Macaca fascicularis: one gene and its partners. The protein of the gene in region 3 purifies or fractionates together with the protein of the main gene of each other region. This does not show direct contact. Links are inferred from orthologs where the notes say so. Each region holds a gene or a part of one and is shown on either strand. Other genes may lie near its edges. The genes, in order: SDHAF1, ISCU and HSCB.

Region 1 (3,168 bases), on a different chromosome or scaffold from region 3:
CAAGAACTCATTTCCACTTACTTAACTGACATGGGTGCAAATACAGCTCAGTGATGCAAACTGCATCCCTCCACAGAATGTCTAGGGCAGGCCCATATGGGGACACAGGAGGGAGTATACCTGTGATCTATGGGGTTCATCTCCCCTCCCCTGCCCCAGGCCTTGTCGTTCATTGTAGCTGAGGCTGGACCCTTCAGCTGTGTTTGAGAAATTTCCAGGTCTGAGACCCCCACTACTGCCTCAGAGGCTTTGAGCCAGTTCTCAGCTCCACCATTTCCTGTCCCACACAAAGATGTTAAACAACTTGCCCTCCATTAGGGAGCCAACTGGGGTATCTTTGGGGGTTAAGCCAGGATGAACCCCCTCCACAAATCTGCCCAGGGGAGAGAACTATGCTGCTTCAATCAATGTGCCAGTCTAGAGGACTCCGGAGGGAGTCAGATTCCCACACCTATTACCTCCCAGATGGTCCCTTCCAGGTGTCTGTGTGTGTGTGCGGTGGTGGTGGTGGGGGGGGGGGGGGTGTTTCAAAAATCCTCAAATATATAAAAGCTTTAAGACCACCAACAGGAAAGTAGACATATCCCCAATTTTATTCCCTTTGTCCAACATTCTGAGAGGGAAGGGGCAAATGAGTCAACGTTGCCCCTCAAAACCATCAAGTAGGGCCCTTTAGTTGATCAACCAGGGTGACAGACCGCTAGCCCCTTCCTCGTGGTCCTGGCTTGTCACAATTAATGGGGGAAAGTTTTCCCAAAGGGGATTCCGGGCTTCTCACCGCTTGATCAGGGAACCTTCCCAATACTTTCTCAGCAAAAAGTCTGCACTTCTCAGAGTTAAATATAGGAGAGGGGAGACTCGAGGAGCCAGAGGTGGGTGTGTTCTCAGGGGTCAAGAGAAGGGTGTCTCAGGCTCTCCCTGTCCAGCAGGGGGCGTCCTGGCTCCCCGTACCTTCGGGCAAGTAGCTCTCGGCTTGACACTGTCCAGCCCGCCGGCGTCCCAGGCCGCCCCAAGCCCTCATACGGGAGGAGCGCCGACCTGTCTCCAAGCACCGGAAAAGGTGGGCCTCTCTTGCCGTCCATCATGAGGCTCTCTAGGCCCCCTGCGTCGCCAAGGGGCAGTCTCTGACATCCCCAATTCGTCGAGCTAGTCTCTCGAGATCTCTCACCTTAGGCGGGTTCCCCAGGCCCCCCACGCAGTCAGGCGAGCCTCCTGGCTCCACCACGCCATCGAGCGAGTTCGGCTCTTCGCCAGTCACCGTCCGTCGGGCCGGGTCTCCGGTGCCCCCGTGCTGTCGTGGGGGTTCCTTGGACCGTCGCCGTCGTCAGGCTGGGAACCCACGCCGCCAGGCTCCTCGGTCGGGGCCCGCGGGCGTACGAAGGCGCCCATGGCGGTGGCGTGGCCCGAGCGTAGCAGCTGCAGCTGGCGCCGCCCGCGGCGGTACAGGTACTCTATGCGCAGCACGTCGGAGCGCGGCAGGCCCGCGTGCTGCCGGAACTCGGCCCGCACTCGCGCCTCGGCGCCCGGTTTCCCGCGTCCGGCACGCAGCAGATCGCGGTACAGGCTCAGAACCTGCCTCTGCAGCCGGCTGTGCCGGCTCATGACCGCGGCTAGGCAGAGACGCTCAGCGAACTCCCTGCTAACCGCCGAGCCGCCACACAGCGAGCCAAGGCCAAAGGGCAAAGCCACAGCCACTTCCGCCCTGCGCTTCCCTTGGCCCCCAACTCCCGCCTCCCGCCATCCGGCGCTGCCGCGTCTGATTGGCTGTCGTTGCTGTTGCACCACAGCGGGCTGGGAGAAGTGGGCGGAGTCTCTGGTCGCGGCCTCCCCTGTAGGGAACACGTGTTCTTGAAGGGACAGCAGTTCTGGGGATCCTGGCACCTGCGTGTCGTAGGAGGAGGTCGCTATGTGTTCGGACTCCTAGGTCTTGGGTCGGAGGGAACAGAGAGTCCTGACCTAACTCCTGCGTTCTGGGAGAAGAGGAAGCTAGGGTTTGTTTTTTTGTTTGTTTTTTTTGTGACGGGGTCTCACTCTGTCGCCCAGGCTGGAGTGCAGTGGCACGATCTTGGCTCACTGCAGCCTCGAACTCCTGGGCCCAAGCGATCCTCCCACCTCAACTTCCCGAGTAGCTGGAACCACAGGTGCGCGCAACCGCGCCCCCTATTTTATTATTATTATTATTTGCAGAGATGGGGTCTCGCTATGTTGCCCAGGATGGCCTCGAACTCCTGGGCTCAAACGATTCTCAGCCTCCCAAAGTGTTGGGATTCCAGGCGTGAGCCACTGCGGCCTGCTACGGGTTCGGACTTTGGGTCCCAACGGCGTGGAGCACTGGGAGAGACACTGGGCACAAGCGTGCTCTTGCCGTCAGTTACTGATTGAAACCATCTCGGGAATCTCCGTGCGTTCCCTCGTCCGGGGCAGGTCTGTGTCTGGGGTCCCAGCCCTAGGCACGTGCAGAGGGACGAGGCCCCGTAGGGAAATGGCTCTCGGCCGGTTGGACAGGCTTCTCCGTGCTAGGGGAAGACAAGCAGAGGGGGTGTGGGCGCCAAGCCCCCAGAGGCAGCGTGTGGCTCTAGGAGCTGGGTTGGTCGCGCCCTCTGCAGGTGGGAGTCGGGGCACTGGGCAGCGGTGTTTGGGTCCTCACGGACTGTTAAAGCCGGGAGTCTGGGACGCCCTGAACAGTGGACTAGACTGGCAGCCCGTTGTCCTCCCAGGAGCTTCAGGTCGTAGGCCGCAATGCCGTTGTTGTCCCCGCGGGCCGCTTGGAGGCGTCCTGGTAGCGCCAGGGAGGCCCGCAAGGACACAGCATCCTCAGGCCCCACCAGCACCGGAGCTTGGGGGACCGCTCGGTGACAACCCCAGACCCCTCCACCCAGCGTGCAACTGCGGCTCACACACTTGGGCCGGCAGCCAGCTGGGGGTCCGTTCCTCTTCAGAGAGGAGAAGCTGGTCAGGGGCGGAGATTAGGCTTGGAGTTTCGGAGTCAAGGGAGAATCAGAAACCACTGTGAATCCTGCCTGTCGGGTGTATGTATGTCTATCAAAAATACATGTCCTAGAGGCCGGGCGCGGTGGCTCAAGCCTGTAATCCCAGCACTTTGGGAGGCCGAGACGGGCGGATCACTAGGTCAGGAGATCGAGACCATCCTGGCGAACACGGTGAAAC
Region 2 (4,261 bases), on a different chromosome or scaffold from region 3:
TGACCCATTAGACCCGTCAAGAGACAGGCTTGGGGTGAATGCAATTTCATTCTGTCAGATTTGTGAGCAACCTTACCGTCTTTCCTTTCACCCATTCAGTGGCTAATGAGCTGGAGGCAATTGCAGAACCACAGCCAAATGTTTTAAACCTAGCATCCACAATTTTCCCCTTTTCATCCACTTGAATCTAGAAAAGAGACAAGAGTTAAGTGGTGAGTCCTAGGACCACCCTCTGGAACTTGGCACTCACGAAGGTTCATTGGGGCCTTCCCCAAGGGCTTTGGGCTTGCTTTCCATACTAAGTGATGGTATTAATTACTGATTTTGCCTTGTTTCAGAGAGCTCAGTGATGAAAAGTGAAATGCAGGGACAATTATCCAGGCCCAACTGACAAAGATCAGCTGGAAAATATGTTCCTCCACCCCAATATTATTTTGTTTTGCGACTCTGGCTTGCATTTTGGCTATGAACTTCTATTTGAGGCAGTCTGCTCACAGCTGCTGGGGCAATCTGCCTCTTAAACACTGAGAGAGTACACAATAAAGGTCTCTGGTTAATACTTTTTTCTTGGGCAGCAGATTATACTTAGTGGTTTCCTCCTGTTTTGTTTCTGTATTCCAAGATAGGTATGAAGATCTCTGGCAAGCTGCCCACTCACCATGAAGCAGCAGATTGGCGCTACAACAACAGTTTACCCAAAGCACTAGACACTATCTTCATGTTGCTCCCAATCTGGGGACAGGTTTAATTTACTGTGTTTCTTATCTCATTGGGGACTGCTAGCTCACTGGGATTTTCCTTTGATCAGTAAAATTCACAAAACTCTTTCGTTGGCTGAAGTTGGAATTTAAACTTATACAGTGAGTACAAAAATGAGATTACTTTTCTATTTCGGAAAAAGTCGGCATAGTACACTAGCCTGGCAGGAGAGCTACGATTGAGGCCCTGTTCCAATCACGTCTAACATGGACTCATCCCATCTCACAGGAATAAAGATGGAGACCGAGTGAAATGCTGTATGTGCAAGTGCTTTGTAAACTTAAAGGGATTATTGTTATCACTATTAAAGACTAGCCATACCTGTAATTTCATTACGTCACCACATGCTGGAGCCCCCACCAGTCCAGTTCCAACATTTTTAGATGTCTTGTCAAGGGACCCCACGTTTCTAGGATTTTCATAATGATCAACAACCTAAAATGAGAGGGTTAAGATAAATCGTGTTCACTCTCTATTGGTGCTGGTCTCTGGTATGGTGGCAAGCTCCTGGAAGTCAGCATCTTGAACCTGGCAGGCAATCACCAAATTTCACCTGAGTAGAAAGGTCTACACTCATGTCAGTGAGAACCATTTGTGACCCCCAATTCCTTTTGTGTCTCCTCTACAACTACTTCACAGATTAGCGACACCTAGAAGAAAAAAATATCAGTGAAATCATGTCTTAATTCCATAGGGTTTTTACAAAAATACTTGACTTTTACCCACCTACATCACCAGACTTGGGCTCAAACAGCAGTTTTGTTATTTTCAAATAAAAACTATCCTCAAAGGATGATTACTATTTAAAAATTCTAAAAATAACTATGGCCCAGGAAGGGAAAACTTTTAGAAGCCTTAAGGTGACTGTTACACAGAGAACAATGCTATGGAATGTGTACGTTTATGTGTCTTTCAAAATAAAAACAGTGCCATTACCGTATTTCAGAGCCTGTCATCACCCTGGTGCAGCAGCGCACCCTGGCTGCTGAAAGGCTGCTAGTCCAAGTTTCCTCGGGGTGTACCCTCAACGAAACACACCGCCGGGAGGGGGAGGAGTGAAGAAGCCCTTGGAGAAAGGGCAGAGGCCAGATCAGAATCAACATCCATTCGAACTGGCACACAGAAGGCCTTAATGTGGTTACTGGTTAGTAGTAAGCACCCCGATCTTCCAGTCCCCTTTTCCTCCCCATCTGACTAAGGATTTTGACTCCAAGTAAAGGCCCCTATAGGATAGTATCTAACGGAGGGACTTTTTGTGCCACGTTGATTTATGGCATTCTTTGTTTCTAGAGTGGGAGTCTCACGTCTGGGGGACTTTGCGTCACCAGACAGCAAGGGGCTGCAAACTATGCATCTATCCCTCCTTCCCCGCCAAAAAAAAACCCCCAAAACAAAACAAAAACACTACGCATGTTGGTTACAAGCCTGACTCCCCTATGCACTCCTAAAGCAGTAACAGAAACGGTCTCCTCGTGCTGGGGCCTATGTGCCAGGAACCATGACAGGACTCCATGCACAGTATCCTTTGTAAGAGACAGCTGAGAGTCCTCATTTACACCTGGGGAAACAAGTTCAGAGAGGCGCAGTGACTAGCGCAAGGTCATCTAGCCAGGGCAGCAGCGTGGCTGAAGCCGGAGCCCGCTCCGGGGGTGTGTCTGTCCCTGGACTCTAAAAGACAAGTCCCAACAGGACCCTGCCTCCTGGGCTGTTGGCGAATTTAAAGTTGGGACGCACGAAGTCGCGGCCAGCGGCGGGGCCCCCTGGAAGTCGCAGCCCGATGAGCGGTAACTGTTGTTTATCAGTTGCAGTGAGCCTCACTGCGCAGCAAGGGAAAGTGAGTCAGGGCAAAGACGTGGGAGGCGACAGCTAGTCCTGGCTGCGTAGAACCCCGCGGCCGCCGCTCCAGCCCAGGCCTCCCCCGAGTCGGCATTCCGCGTGTCCCCTCGTTTGTCCCTACCTTCTTGTGATAGAGTCGGGCCGGGGCCGATAGCTCCCGGGCGGGCAGGCGGGGGCTCCGGAGCAGCAGAGCCGACGCTGCCCGCCTCAGACGGCCAGCTCCAGCTGCCGCCATCTTGCCGGCTTGCGCCTGCGCCAGTCCAGAGCGATGCCGAGGGGCGGGGCGCGTCTGCGAGTCGGCGCCGAGCTGGGAGCGCGCCTCTCTGGCGTCACCGAGGCTTTGCGCCTGCGCCTTACCGTTCCGTGCAAGCCTCCGCCCTGTGGCCCCGCCTTGACCACGCCTCTCGGGGGCGGGCGGGGTCGGGAGCGGGAAGGTCTGAAGTCGCTAGAGGGCTTGTCCTGGGTGCTGGATTCTGGTTGAGAGAGGATCTCAGGCTTCTGCAGTGTGGGAATGCGGCGCAGAGGACCACTGAGTCCACTTTTCCTAACCCTATTTTGCAGCTAAGGAAGCTGAGATTCAGGGCAGTTTGGTCACTCCGTCCAAGGTCGCTTAGGGCTTAGGTTCAACTAGAATTCGAACTTGGGTAGTCCTGGGTTAGAATCCTGGTTCGGTTCCTTCCTGGCTGTGTGTCCCTAGACAAATGGTACCGGCTTGCTAAGTCTGAATCTTCCTTTTTGTATTAATTCGAGGACAATTCCTTCATCATGAAGCCAGCATCTGTGTTGAGTACCTACTATGTGTCAAGGCACTCTACTAGACCCGGGGATCCAACAGAAAGCAAAACAGACGTAATTCCTGCCCATTAAGCTTGCTAATGAGGGAGCAAGGTAGAGATAGAGACACACTCCAGTACTTGCCTACCTCAACAATGGGAAGCTTAAGAAGGAAACGAACACCATGTCCTGATTGAAAAAAAATGAGTATATGTCTATTTTTCTCTCTGAAACAACAGCAAATTCAATTTATATGTCGGTGCCTAGCAATTAAGAATTTCTAAAGAAATGCGTATTTACTGTTGGTTTGCAGTATGTGAGCTTATAAAACCGGAAAACTCAAGTGTATTTAACGCCTCCTAGGTACCAGATGTTTACATAAAGGGGAAGAATTTCTTTGGGAAATGGATTTTTCTCTTGAATGGTGAAATCGATCCTTCCCCGAGGACCTGCAGTTTTCTTTGCGTTTGAGGTGCAGTTGCTGGGGAGACTAAACCCAAGCGCCAGGTCACACTAGGCGATAAGTAAGGTATTTTTTCTAAGAATCACTTTGACCTTCTCAAGATGGCGCCAAATTCTTTACTACAGACACCACGCTCGCTTCATGACTTCCTCTATGGCCTCCACTTCCTGCCCAAAGACCCAACTTCTGTCCGAAGTTGTGACGGAACGTATGCCATGATAATGAGTTTTTTCTCTGGTGGGAGTTTTTACAGGGGTATAAAATAAAATGAATTTAGTGTATTTGGAGATTTTCTCGTTATCTAAGGTTCCCAGTTTCCCTTTCAGTGTCAAGAAAACGGGCTTTTGATAAGGCGCGCGCCGCGGGCAGCTTCTGCCTCAGCGGGTCTTCGGCGGCCGCGGGAAGACCCGAGAGTCATTAGAAGCGCAA
Region 3 (3,649 bases):
GCACACGCTTATAGTCCCAGCTACTTGAGAGGCTAAGGCAGGAGGATCACTTGAACGTGGGAGACAGAGGTTGCAGTGAGCTGAGTTCATGCCACTGCCACTCCAGCCTGGATGACTCTGTCTAAAAAAAAAAAAAAAAAAACTTTGTAATTTGGATGGTAAAGTACTATCTTCATCTCCACTAACAGACTGAAAAGGACTTCTCAGAGAAGCATTCGACCCTGGTGAATGACGCCTATAAGACCCTCCTCGCCCCCCTGAGCAGAGGACTGTACCTTGTAAGGTGATTTCCCAACCCTTTTGTGCATGAAGTCCTGATGCCCATTATGACATAGGACAGCCACGTCCCCTTTATTCAGCAGAAGAGTGCTTGAGGTCGGGCATGGTGGCTCACACCTGTAATCCCAGCACTTTAGGAGGCTGAGGTGGACAGATCACTTCAGCCCAGGAGTTCAAGACCATCCTGGGCAACATGATGACACCCCATTTCTACAAAAAATACCAAAATTAGCTGGGCATGGTGGCATACACCTGTAGTCCCAGCTACTCTGGAGTTGAAGCAGGAGGATCACTTGAGCCTGAGAGGTCGAGGCTACAGTGAGCTGTGATTGTACTACTGCACCCTCTCAAAAAAAAAAAAGAGTCCAGGGACCCAATAGTATTTAGCCTTACAGCACAAGTATAATTTTCTCTGTGAATATTACTTGCCTCAACAGCATTTTTTAAATTGTTATTTTCTAGCTTTTTTCTATGAATTTCAAGGATTTGATGTTGGTAGCTTTTAGTTAAAAGTCATTTTCTGTTGTGTTTTTTTTATTTTCCCCTCTCAAAAGTATCTTAAGAGGCCAGGCATGGTGGCTCACGCCTGTAATCCCAGCACTTTGGGAGGCCGAGGCAGGTGGATCACGAGGTCAGGAGTTCAAGACCAGCCTGGTCAAGGTGGTGAAACCCTGCCTCTACAAAAAATACAAAATAATTAGCCAGACGTGGTGGCAGGTGCCTCTAATCCCAGCTACTTGAGAGGCTGAGGCAGAGAATTGCTTCCCCAGGAGGCAGAGGTTGCAGTGAGCTGAGATCATGCCACTGCACTCCAGCCTGGGTAACAGAGCGAGACTTCATCTCAAAAAAAAAAAAAAAAAGTATCTTACAATCTAGAAAATTTTGTAATTGAATAGAATCTTTAGAAACATCTAGTTCAACCTCTGGGTGGAGGGATGACTACCCCAAGATCACACCAAGGTCACACAGTTTCAGGTAGCATTAAGTGGAAATCCCATTCCAGCATTTATGTTTCAGTCCAACCTTTTGATACCCCTTAGTCTTTCATTACTGGGACTGTTCCAGTTTTCTCTATTAGAGGTATTATTTCCTAACGGATGAGTAGGATTTAGATTACTCTGCCCATAGTTTCTTCAACTTATTTTTCTTGCTTTCTGCCCCAATAGCTAAAGCTCCATGGAATAGAGATTCCTGAAAGGACAGATTATGAAATGGACAGGCAATTTCTCATGGAAATAATGGAAATCAATGAAAAACTTGCAGAAGCTGAAAGTGAAGCTGCCATGAAAGAGATTGAATCCATTGTCAAAGGTGAAAGACAAAATAGCACCGAATGTATTTCATTGCTTGTCCAAGGATAAGTGAAAAATGAACGTAAAGAGTACATAATGGCCCAGGCACAGTGGCTCATGCCTATAATCCCAGCACTTTGGGAGGCCAAGGCGAGTGGATCACCTGAGGTCAGGCGTTCAAGACCAGCCTGGCCAACATGGTGAAACCCTATCTCTACTAAAAATACAAAAATTAGCCAGGTGTGGTAGCAGGCGCCTGTAGTCCCAGCTACTCGGGAGGCTGAGGCAGGAGAATGGCATGAACCCAGGAGGCAGAGCTTGCAGTGAGCGGAAATCACGCCACTGCACTCCAGCCTGGGCGACAGAGCGAGACTCCGTCTCAAAAAAAAAAAAAAAAAAAGGAAGGTTATTTACTTTAAGGAATTAGCTCACATAATTGTGGGAGCTGGCACATCTAAAATCTATAGGGTAGGACTGGGCGCAGTGGCTCATGCCTGTAATCCCAGCATTTTGGGAGACCGAGAAGGGCAGATCCCTTGAGTCTAGGAGTTCGAGACCAGCCTGGGCAATGTGGCGAAACTCCATCTGTGAAAAAAAAGACTAAAAAATCAGCCAAGCATCGACCGGGCGTGGTGGCTCACGCCTGTAATCCCAGCACTTTGGGAGGCCGAGGCAGGTGGATCACCTGAGGTTGGGGGTTCGAGACCAGCCAGGCCAACATGGAGAAACCCCGTCTCTACTAAAAATAGAAAATTAGCCGAGCATGGTGGTGCATGCCTATAATCCCAGCTACTCGGGAGGCTGAGGCAGGAGAATCGCTTGAACTTGGGAGGCGGGGCTTGCAGTGAGCCGAGATTGTGCCACTGCACTCCAGCCTGGGCAACAGAGTGAGACTCTGTCTCAAAAAAAAAAAAAAAAAAATCAGCCAAGCGTGGAGGTGCACACTTGTGGTCCCAGCTATCCGGGAGGCTGAGGTGGGAGAATCACCTGAGCCCGGGTGTCAGAGCTTGCAGTGAGCTGAGATCACGCCACTGCACTCCAGCCTGAGTGACAGTGAGACCCTGTCACAAAAAAATAAATAAATAAAATCTATAAGGTAGATAAGCAGGCTGAAAGTCTAGGCAGGATTTCTATGTTACAGTCTTGCTACAGAATTCCTTCCCAGAAAACCTGTTTTTGCACTTAATGCCTCTACTTGATTGGATGAGGCCCACCCACATTATGTAGGGTAACATCCATTACTTAAAGTCAACTGATTATAAATGTTAATCACATCTACAAATACCTTCACAGGATCATCTAAACTAGTTGGTTTTTGTTTTTTTGAGACATGGTCTCACTCTGTCACCCAGGCTGGAGCGCAGTGGTACAGTCACAGCTCACTGTAGCCTTGACCCATGGGCTCAAGCAATCTTCTCACCTCAACCTCTTGGATAGCTGGGACTACAGGCGTGCATCACCACGCCTGGCTAATTTTTTGTGTCTTTTATAGAGATGGGATTTCGCCATGTTGCCCAGGCTGGCTTTAAACTCCTGGGTTCAAAGCAATCCCCCTGCCTCAGTCTCCCAAAGTGCTGGGATTACAGGCGTGACTCAATGTGCCTGGCAAACAACTGGGCACCATAGCCTAGCCAACTTGACTCATCAAATTGACCATTCCACATATAAAAGATTCCAAGGTTCTCTGTTAGACTCTATTCATTACATACTTTCACAGATATTTGTAGTGTTCTACTACAAATATCAGGCACTGCGTATGACACTGAGGATACAGCATAGAACAAGAAAGACTGTGCCTTCTTGGAGTTTATATATGTCAACTGTGCCCAAAATGGATTCCCAAGTGTCTCCCCTCCCCACCTTTCCCCTAAAAAAAACCTGTTCCTCTTAGGCCGGGCGCGGTGGCTCACGCCTGTAATCCCTGCACTTGGGGAGGCCGAGGCAGGCGGATCACGAGGTCGGGAGATCAAGACCATCCTGGCTAACATAGTGAAACCCCGTCTCTACTAAAAATACAAAAAGTTAGCTGGGCGTGTTGGCATGCGCCTGTAGTCCCAGCTACTCGGGAGGCTGAGGCA

What was found.
Region 1: the proteins of HSCB (region 3) and SDHAF1 purify together in Homo sapiens (co-immunoprecipitation; 3 studies listed by BioGRID and IntAct, with this or other methods). This does not show direct contact. The link is inferred for Macaca fascicularis from reciprocal best matches to the Homo sapiens genes HSCB and SDHAF1.
Region 2: the proteins of HSCB (region 3) and ISCU purify together in Homo sapiens (affinity purification with western blotting; 3 studies listed by BioGRID and IntAct, with this or other methods). This does not show direct contact. The link is inferred for Macaca fascicularis from reciprocal best matches to the Homo sapiens genes HSCB and ISCU.

The regions. Positions count from the first base shown.
Region 1 is NC_088393.1:43,235,770-43,238,937, reverse strand, and holds SDHAF1 (succinate dehydrogenase assembly factor 1, mitochondrial), read right to left. Parts: upstream 1,690-3,168; 5' UTR 1,603-1,689; coding exon 1,255-1,602; 3' UTR 578-1,254; downstream 1-577.
Region 2 is NC_088385.1:115,395,242-115,399,502, reverse strand, and holds the start of ISCU (iron-sulfur cluster assembly enzyme ISCU), read right to left. Parts: upstream 2,858-4,261; 5' UTR 2,831-2,857; coding exon 2,717-2,830; intron 1,826-2,716; exon of another isoform or gene 1,195-1,825; coding exon 1,081-1,194; intron 188-1,080; coding exon 77-187; intron 1-76.
Region 3 is NC_088384.1:22,920,392-22,924,040, reverse strand, and holds part of HSCB (iron-sulfur cluster co-chaperone protein HscB), read left to right. Parts: intron 1-188; coding exon 189-278; coding exon of another isoform or gene 279-283; intron 284-1,445; coding exon 1,446-1,590; intron 1,591-3,649.